Oryzias latipes: one gene and its partner. The protein of the gene in region 2 binds, or shares a complex with, the protein of the main gene of each other region. Links are inferred from orthologs where the notes say so. Each region holds a gene or a part of one and is shown on either strand. Other genes may lie near its edges. The genes, in order: thoc2 and THO complex subunit 4.

Evidence for each region.
Region 1: THO complex subunit 4 (region 2) and thoc2 share a complex: the UniProt entries of both Homo sapiens proteins name them as parts of the transcription/export (TREX) complex. The link is inferred for Oryzias latipes from reciprocal best matches to the Homo sapiens genes ALYREF and THOC2.

Annotation. Positions count from the first base shown.
Region 1 is NC_019872.2:16,166,738-16,170,554, forward strand, and holds part of thoc2 (THO complex subunit 2), read right to left. Parts: intron 2,714-3,817; coding exon 2,592-2,713; intron 2,505-2,591; coding exon 2,371-2,504; intron 1,811-2,370; coding exon 1,650-1,810; intron 1,529-1,649; coding exon 1,436-1,528; intron 1,270-1,435; coding exon 1,114-1,269; intron 840-1,113; coding exon 667-839; intron 522-666; coding exon 326-521; intron 254-325; coding exon 215-253; intron 121-214; coding exon 1-120. UniProt on the Homo sapiens protein: Component of the THO subcomplex of the TREX complex which is thought to couple mRNA transcription, processing and nuclear export, and which specifically associates with spliced mRNA and not with unspliced pre-mRNA.
Region 2 is NC_019866.2:15,369,697-15,374,190, reverse strand, and holds the start of THO complex subunit 4, read left to right. Parts: upstream 1-1,554; 5' UTR 1,555-1,701; coding exon 1,702-1,941; intron 1,942-3,291; coding exon 3,292-3,450; intron 3,451-3,535; coding exon 3,536-3,683; intron 3,684-3,777; coding exon 3,778-3,841; intron 3,842-3,932; coding exon 3,933-4,113; intron 4,114-4,196; coding exon 4,197-4,211; 3' UTR 4,212-4,494. UniProt on the Homo sapiens protein: Functions as an mRNA export adapter; component of the transcription/export (TREX) complex which is thought to couple mRNA transcription, processing and nuclear export, and specifically associates with spliced mRNA and not with unspliced pre-mRNA.

The DNA of each region.
Region 1 (3,817 bases), on a different chromosome or scaffold from region 2:
GGGAAAGAGTTTGAAGAGACCCCAGAGTTCCTCTGACATACAAGCATTACACTCCATCAAAGAGAGGGAGGGTAGCAGCACCTGGTCTGCAATGCTCAGGAAACAACTCAACAGTATTTCCTGCAATTATTATACGTAACATTAAGGTCACAACAAGTCGAACAGGTGTAGACGCTTGGAAAGACCATGAAAGGAATGCAACTGCTGCTCTCACCATCTTGTCTTTGACCTCAGGTCTGCTGTCACTTTGGTACTGAGGAGCAAGAACAGAGTCAACCTCTGATGCTGGAGCGCAGATGATGCTAAATGGTTTCAAGTTACAAACCTCCTTCATGAAAGCCTTTCCCAGTCGCACAATCTTAGCAAACAGGATGGGGTCATGGGAGAGATGGGGGCCCAAGTAGGACAGCATGCTGAACGTGTCCTTGCGCAGATCTTCAAAAGTCTCTGCAGGCCGTGGAGCCCGGCCGTTCCTCAGTGCAAGCATGGCACTCCCCCGCGCCCCTTTGGGAACGCCAACCCTGTGAAGAGGAGAGGCTAGTCTTAGAGCTTTGGTTTGCAGCTCTGAATCCACTCTTGGATTCTAGTCTTTCCATAAACAGTGTGTGTCTTATTGATGAACATAATGCATGTTATGGGCAACAAGTGGAAGATGAAAATCAGCACCTTCGGTAAAGAGGCTCCACAGTTAGGTGGACCAGTTGGCAGAGTGCCAAAGCGATGGTTTTGTGAGAAGCAGAATAAAAGGAGGGCATCTGGTCCATAATACTCTGGGCGTGTTGCCAGTCTCCAATTTTAAGTAGTGCTTCCAAGAGACCAAGCTTTTGATTATCAGGTGGCTGTGGGACAACATACAAAAGCAAAAGACATCAAGTAAAAAGAGGGATTAAAACAAAACAGATGCAAAACCAAACACAGATGCACCGATGTAGACAGCGATGCCTTTCTCAATTAGTTCTTATTGAAATGTCTGTTATTTAAGTTTCGAAAATGATATTTTCATTTTTCATCTTGTGAAAATGTTAGTAACAACATGTAAAGTTGGGTTGAGATTAGAACAAAACGTATAATTCTGTTTGACTTCATTCTAAATGAGAGAAAAAGCTCAAATACCTTTTCAAACTTCTCCTCCTCTTTCTCCTTCTCCTTCTCTCTGTCTTCACTTTTGTCCGAGGGAAGCACCACCATCACCAGTTTGCGTGCGATCTGCTTGGCCTCTGAGATTTCCCGTTTGTGTTCTTCAATAATAGTGACATCTAGTGGCATCAGCTGAAATTGCAGAAGTAACTTGAGGTCAGGGAGGGTTTATTTTTTTCTCGGTGCAAATTTACGCACAAAAAAAAAAAAACAATTTAAAAATGGTTTCATTGAAGGGATGGACATATGGAAAGCAGAAATTTGGAATGAATTAAATGATATGAAAATCTGCACTTACATGTACATAAAGGTCTTCCAGCTCTATTAAATTGTGGTGGAGCAGTGCAGCAGCAATGTGGTAAAGTGACTTGGGGGTTTCCTCATTGGGCTCCTGAACAAATACAAAAGTCAATCAATGAGAACTTAGACTAAAACAATGAAGATAGTATGATTATTAGAAAAAACACTCAAATACATGCCTGTATTTAAATATGAACTTTGGGTGTTCTCACCTGGTAGAATTTAAACTTGAAGCCCAAAATGTGGCAGAGAGTGAGTGGCTCACACATGTAGGACTTAATGAGCGACAAGAAAAACTCGTCTTGATCGGAGCGACTTTCATAAATCTCAAGGATGATGTCCAAAACCCGGTTAGGGTCCAGGTTGAAGCAGCCTACAGGGGAGGGAAAAAAAAGATTATCCCTGAGGTCACGGTTGTAGTTTTTACACAAAGCATCCTATGACATGTTTTTCATTGAAATTCTATTGGATCCATTTCATACTCTGCTGTTCTACAGCGTGTTTACAGCTGTAAATTTGTTTGTAATCAGTAAAGTTTGGGATCCAGCCACAATGATTTCTAGCACCAAAAATGACTTAATCTGGAACTGACATGGACCCCATTTCAGTTTGAAAACAGTCGAATAGGAAATAACTGAACTTTTCTGAGCTATTAATGTGAAGCAATATCTTTTAATAAATAATTAGAATTGTATTTTTATGTATAAATAGTATTATGTAACGATATATAATAATTTGCTTCTAAAATGTCTTTTTATAACTAAAACACAAGACACCAATAACTTGCTGTGAAAAAGCCAAACTAAGAAATTGTGGCACAGAAATCCCTAATACTAAGAAAATTCACTATTACACATTTTCAATAAACACAATAATCATATTTGAGATAAGAAAGTTTGAGGTAGTGATGCAGAAAAATGACTCTTTATATACCTATGAGAGACTTTATGTTCTCCAAGACGAGGTGGCTGGTGATGTTGCCTGACAGGTCTTGGCCAAGCTCGGTTATTAATTTAGCGTAACCTTCGTTCTCCTCTCGTAGCAAGTTGAACTTCTGTTGCTTGTAACTAAAAAAAAAAAAAAAAGAAAGTTATAGAAAAGTCAGACAGGCATTAGACAGCAAGAGTACTATGTTGAAGCATGTTTGCACTTACAAAAGTTTAGTCTTGATTTTTACAATCTTCTGGTTAAACTGGTGAGCTTGTTTAATCAATCCCAGAGATTCCAGTGTCTCGGGATCCAGCCTCTCCTTCAAGATGGCCTCAGGTATCAGACTCTGATGAAGTAAAAGCGGCAGATTTATGGGAATTACTCACAGAAAGAGGTCAATAACCCCAAAAATATAATCAAACATAATATCATTAGAATCCTGAATAACCCTGACCTTTCATCAATAGTTGCCAATAAACTCAAATTCATTAAAAAATTGGGGACTTTAAATTGTGCTTGAGTGTGAATGTGAGTGGTTGTATGTTTCTGTAAAGCACTGTGATAGACAGGCAAACCATCCAGGGGGTACTACGCAACAGTGGCTGGGATAGGCTCCAGCAACCCAGTGAAACCAAAAAGAATCAAGCAGAAAATAAATGGATGGCAATTTGATTTGGTATCCATGCTTCCTGTCTTTCTACTTTACCTCATTATTGGAACAAACATCTTGAGCTCGAGTAGCAGTTGTTTTTGTCAAAAACCCCACTAACTGAATTACAACTTAAGCAGGATTTACACGGAACAAATTCAAGTTTGTCTGCATCAAGAGGGTTCATCATTATCAGTGACAGTTAGGCCTACATTTGAAAGAAGAAAGGGACATTTATTATTTAATTTTGCAGCTGAGAACAATTTCAGCATCTTTTGCAAATAAATCATTTTTGTAACAATGTTGCTATATTAATTTTATTTGCTTTATATATCTTTTAACGCATCAAGAATCAACTGTTTAGTTTTCCATACAAATGCAGGTCACAAGATGCTGGAGCCAGCCCAGAAACTGTTGGGCGAAGGTGGGGTACGCCCCAAGCATGTCGCCAGTCTGTTGTAGTGCCACACGCTCACATGGGGACAATTTAGGGATACCTTTTAACCAATGACGCATGGACGGTGGGAGGAAGCCGGCGTGTCCAGAGAAGACCCACACATGCACGGGGAGAACATGCAAACTCCACCCAGAAAGGTCCCCGCCAGGATTTCAACCCTTCTTGCTGTGAGGCAAGAGGGCTAACCACTGTTCCACTATGCAGCGCCTTACCAAATCATAGTCTAGAGTTAGACATGAGATTTTCTGTTTCTGCCTAGAGCTGGGTGAAATGCTCAAAAATTTAAATCTCAGATTTTGTCATTAAAAATTCAATTTTCAAATTTTTTTCCTCCCTGCTTTTAC
Region 2 (4,494 bases):
ATCAAAAGTTTCAATGAAGGTTTTGTGGTTAAGGCACAAAAAACGAGGACACAAGACTTAAACCCTCTACTACCAAATGTACCCTGATGACTTTGAAAGAAAATATGAAAGGGCTGACTTCTGTTTTTATTTTTTGGAAAACCAATTGATAAACAGTAGAATGATCTCAATGGATATCCTCTTAGTGGGCTTGTTTTGGAAACCAAAATACAATGTGGAAGGCCAACATTTTTTTTATTATTATTATTATTATTATACATTTTTCTTGCCCTGGGATGGACATTGTTGAGTAGTGAATGCAGGAATGCAGCTCTTATCTCCTTCCTCTAAGCCTTGGAAGCAAAATGTTGAATAAAAGACTTTTACAGAACTTCTGCTTGGTTTGACACTCATGTATGTTTGTTATAATACAATGAACAGTAATCAGTGTTAGGCTGTTTTTTTCCTCGGAACAAACGTTAGCTAAAAGTATGGAAAACGATCATAAATAAGAGGTTAAAAACTCCCCAGTATATCCCCCACCCCACTAAAATTCAGCTATTTTTAAATATACATAACTGTATTTGTAGTTTAGCTTTACAGATTGATTATATCTTTGATTTTCACTTTTTTTACACCCACAATTATTAGGAAAGTAATTCTTTTGCTTTTTTTATTAATAACAGCAATACCAGTTTTTTGTTATTTCTTTATAATAACGTGCAATTAACAGAGGTAGAGTTTACAGACAAACAGAGCCATGTAGCTCAGAAACAATCAATGTAGGAAAGGTTTCAATAAAAGAACAAGAGGGAAACTTTCTTTTTTGTTTGTTTTCTAATTAGGTGAAGAAGTTGTTGGTCTTAAAAATACTACTACCTTCAAATCAAAACAATAGAGTTGCATTTATATTTGTTATTTACATATTTCAAATGAATGTGAAGGAAGAATACAATCATGCATTCTCGTGCAGGGTGCTTTTTTAATCCTTATTGTAGTATGAAGAAGAGCAAAATTTTGAATAATACTTTGAATTGCTATCTTTTTATGCAAAATTAATCTTTTGAGATCAAATTAATTTCAACTTCTTAGCAGATTTGCTGACGTGTCTCATCAAAAAGAGATCCAATTTGTATTTATAATATGCATATTGAGAGTTCAGGGTGTTGTCCAATTTAAGCATTCATTATAATAACGTTTCTTGATCAAACTAAGAAAGTTTTCTTTAGGTCATAGTCACATCTAAATAAAAAATCAATTCAATACAAATTTCATTTGAAATATGAAACCACATTTTTGTTTGTTTAAAGAAGTGCCTTAGCCTATTTGTTTTCAATGTAATTTAAAGTCTAAAAGTATTTTTTTTTATGTTATTCAGTTTCGTTATAGAGATATAGTTAAAAGTGTTTGATTTAATGCTTTGATTGCTTCTTTTAGTGTTACTATGAACTGAACACACCCATGTATGGCGTTTTTTAGGAATAATGTTTTAGTTTCCAGTAGAGGGCGGTAAAGAGTTGTTGTAGTTTTTAACGTAATGACGTCAAGAGTACGTGTTCTCCAACCAATCAGCTTTTCTACAGCTTGTGGGCGCTTTTCATTGTGCTTAGTACTTGGACCAGAGAGCGTAAATCTACGGACGAAGAGAGGGAACAGCTTAGTCCAGGGTGTTTTAAGACAATTTAAATCTTTACAGTGCTTTAGAGTTATCGGGGCAGCATAATGGCGGATAAGATGGATATGTCTCTAGACGACATTATCAAGCTGAACAGGCAGAGTAGAGGCGGAGCCCGTGGGGGAAGAGGCCGAGGCCGCGGAGGCTCAGGCGGTGCCCGTGGAGGAGGCCTTGGGCGTCTTGGTGGTGGCGGCGGCGGATTTGGAGGCCGAGGCGGAGGATCAGGCCCCATGAGGACCCGACAGAACCTGAGCCGCGCTAGAGGCAGACCAACGCCTTATAGCAGGGTATGAGAAAGTTAGACGAATGGGCATTGGAAGGAAAAAAACCTTCGTCAAAGCTGAAAATTCCTGGTTTACGTCTTCTTTTCTCCATTTGGCTTGACGGCTAATCACCTAGCTAGTCAAGCCATTAAAATGGTTGCTTACCGCTGAGTTTCCCTTAGAGGAGAGCTCTATAGTTTGTGGATAAGCATAAATGGAGGTTGTTTGCATAATATGTCCCTTCTCCCACAACCTATATGTGTCGCACCACTTTTCAAGAAGAAGCTGCTTGAGGAGCGACTATGTTAGCCACATTGGCTAACCTGCCGGATCGTGAAGGTCTCAGCGCCATTTTGAATCCAACAACCTCGAATACAATTTGGCGTCAAAATGATGTTTTACCCCAAGTGTCGTAATGGTCTGGAAAGAAAAGGATGCCTACATCGCTGAGAAGGTTCCTGCACGTTTTTTCCATTGCTACGGAATCACATTCCTTCCAACGTCCTGCTACATCTTCAAGGCGGCCTTTTGTCCCAGGAATGGCTGACGGGGTTTCTTAAAATCCCACCCAAAAGGCTTTTCACCAAATGTCACATATGGATGGATACGTGGACTCATACTTAATCCCCTCAAATTTCCTTTATTTTTTTTTTTTTTTTTGTAAAAAGAAGCCCAATCTTCACTCCTGGGGTGTGAATGAATATAAATGCAACCCAAACAAAGCCCCGATCAAAATGGCGTGGTTTCAAAATGGACGTCCGCGTACTCCACGCACTAAAAAGGGGGCTATCGGCTTCTTTCCCCCCAAAATGTTCTTCACCTGTAACATCCTAAAGACATTTCTTCATGAAAGTCGAATTGTGGCCTGACAAAGGACTGTTGTGAGCCTGGACAAGCGGCGCAACGCGGGATGCGAGGCTGCTTCTGCCGGGGACCCCCCCTCGTGTGCCTGAGGAGCATGTCGACAGACAGAGCAGTTGGTGGAGTAGCAGATGGCAAGAAACGACGGGGTTATGCTAGCTAGTTTGGGGCGGATTTTTGGTTCATGTAAAGATTTTTTAAAGTTAATGTATGAAAATGATTAGTTTAAATATCTGTCAGCTTTTTGTCTTACTTTACAAGTAGTAAAACATTGAAATTTTCTGTATCAAAACACCAAAATAGCTATTTTTAAATTTGTGTATTTCTGTCTGAAGTGATTCACGTGATTGTAACGATGGGGTGGGCAGGGATCATGGGGGGGTCTGCTGAGCACCCTGGCCGTGTTGGAAGTGGAGCACCTGCTTGCACCAACACCCAGCCGTGTGGACTCTGTGAAAGACAGAGGCAGGGGATCCTGAAGTCAGCAGGTGCGTTCTCTTTCGTCTGTTGCAGCCCAAACAGCTTCCCGATAAATGGCAGCACGACATGTTTGACAACGGCTTCAGCGGCTTCAATGGGGCTGCTGGAGGTGGCGGAGGAGCTGGTGTGGAAACGGGAGGAAAGCTCCTCGTCTCCAATCTGGACTTTGGGGTGTCAGACGCAGACATCCAGGTACAACTTAGCTAGCATATCTGATGGTGATGTTTTTTTTTTTTAATTGATGACTTAGTTTTGACTTTTTTTTTTTTTATCGAAGGAACTCTTTGCTGAATTTGGGACTCTAAAGAAAGCTGCAGTTCATTACGACAGATCAGGAAGAAGCCTTGGAACGGCAGATGTCCACTTTGAAAGGAGGGCAGATGCCCTGAAAGCCATGAAACAGTACAATGGCATTCCTCTTGATGGTATTCTTCTACTTTATTACAGATTTATTTAATTAGATAAATACATTTAAATATTAGTTGATCTTCCCAAGATTAAAGCCTAATTTGTGTTTAGGGCGGCCTATGAACATTCAGCTCGTCACATCACAGATCGACACACAGAGGCGGCCTATGCAGGGGTAAGTAAGCATGGATTCTTGGGAAACTGGAAACAGGCTGTTGTGTAAACCCCAATTACATTTTCTTTGTGTATTTGTTTTGTTTTACCAGTATGAACAGAGGTGGTGGAGGCATGAGTAGAAATCGGGGTTTCGGAGGGATGCAAAGAGGCCGAGGGGTCCGTGGTGCAGGTGGTCCCAGAGGAAGAGGGCGGGGGGGGCGCGGCGGTGCCCCCAAGCAACCGCTATCGGCAGAAGAGCTTGACGCCCAGTTAGATGCTTACAATGCCAGGGTACATCTGTCAAAATAGAAAGCATCTTCTGTTGAAGTTGTTTTGCAGCTGTCCTAATTCTGTTTCACCTCTTGTTTTCTCAGATGGATACCAGTTAAGGAAACCTCCCATCCTAGTTGACGTCATCCCTCCCTGTCTGCACAGAAAGGGGTGCTTGTTACAGATGTGCAGAATATTTTACACTTGTCTTCTGATGTGATTGAAATTGTTCCAACCTCTTCTTTTAAATACTCCAAAGTGTTTTTTACCAAGTGTTTTATTTTTGTTTTAATTTTTTTTTTTTTTTTGATCGAATGGTTTTACTGTAGGTTAACTGCTGGGTGGAGTTTTCTCAGTTTCTCCCAACCCTGTAGTGAATGGAACTTGTAATAAAAACCTGCA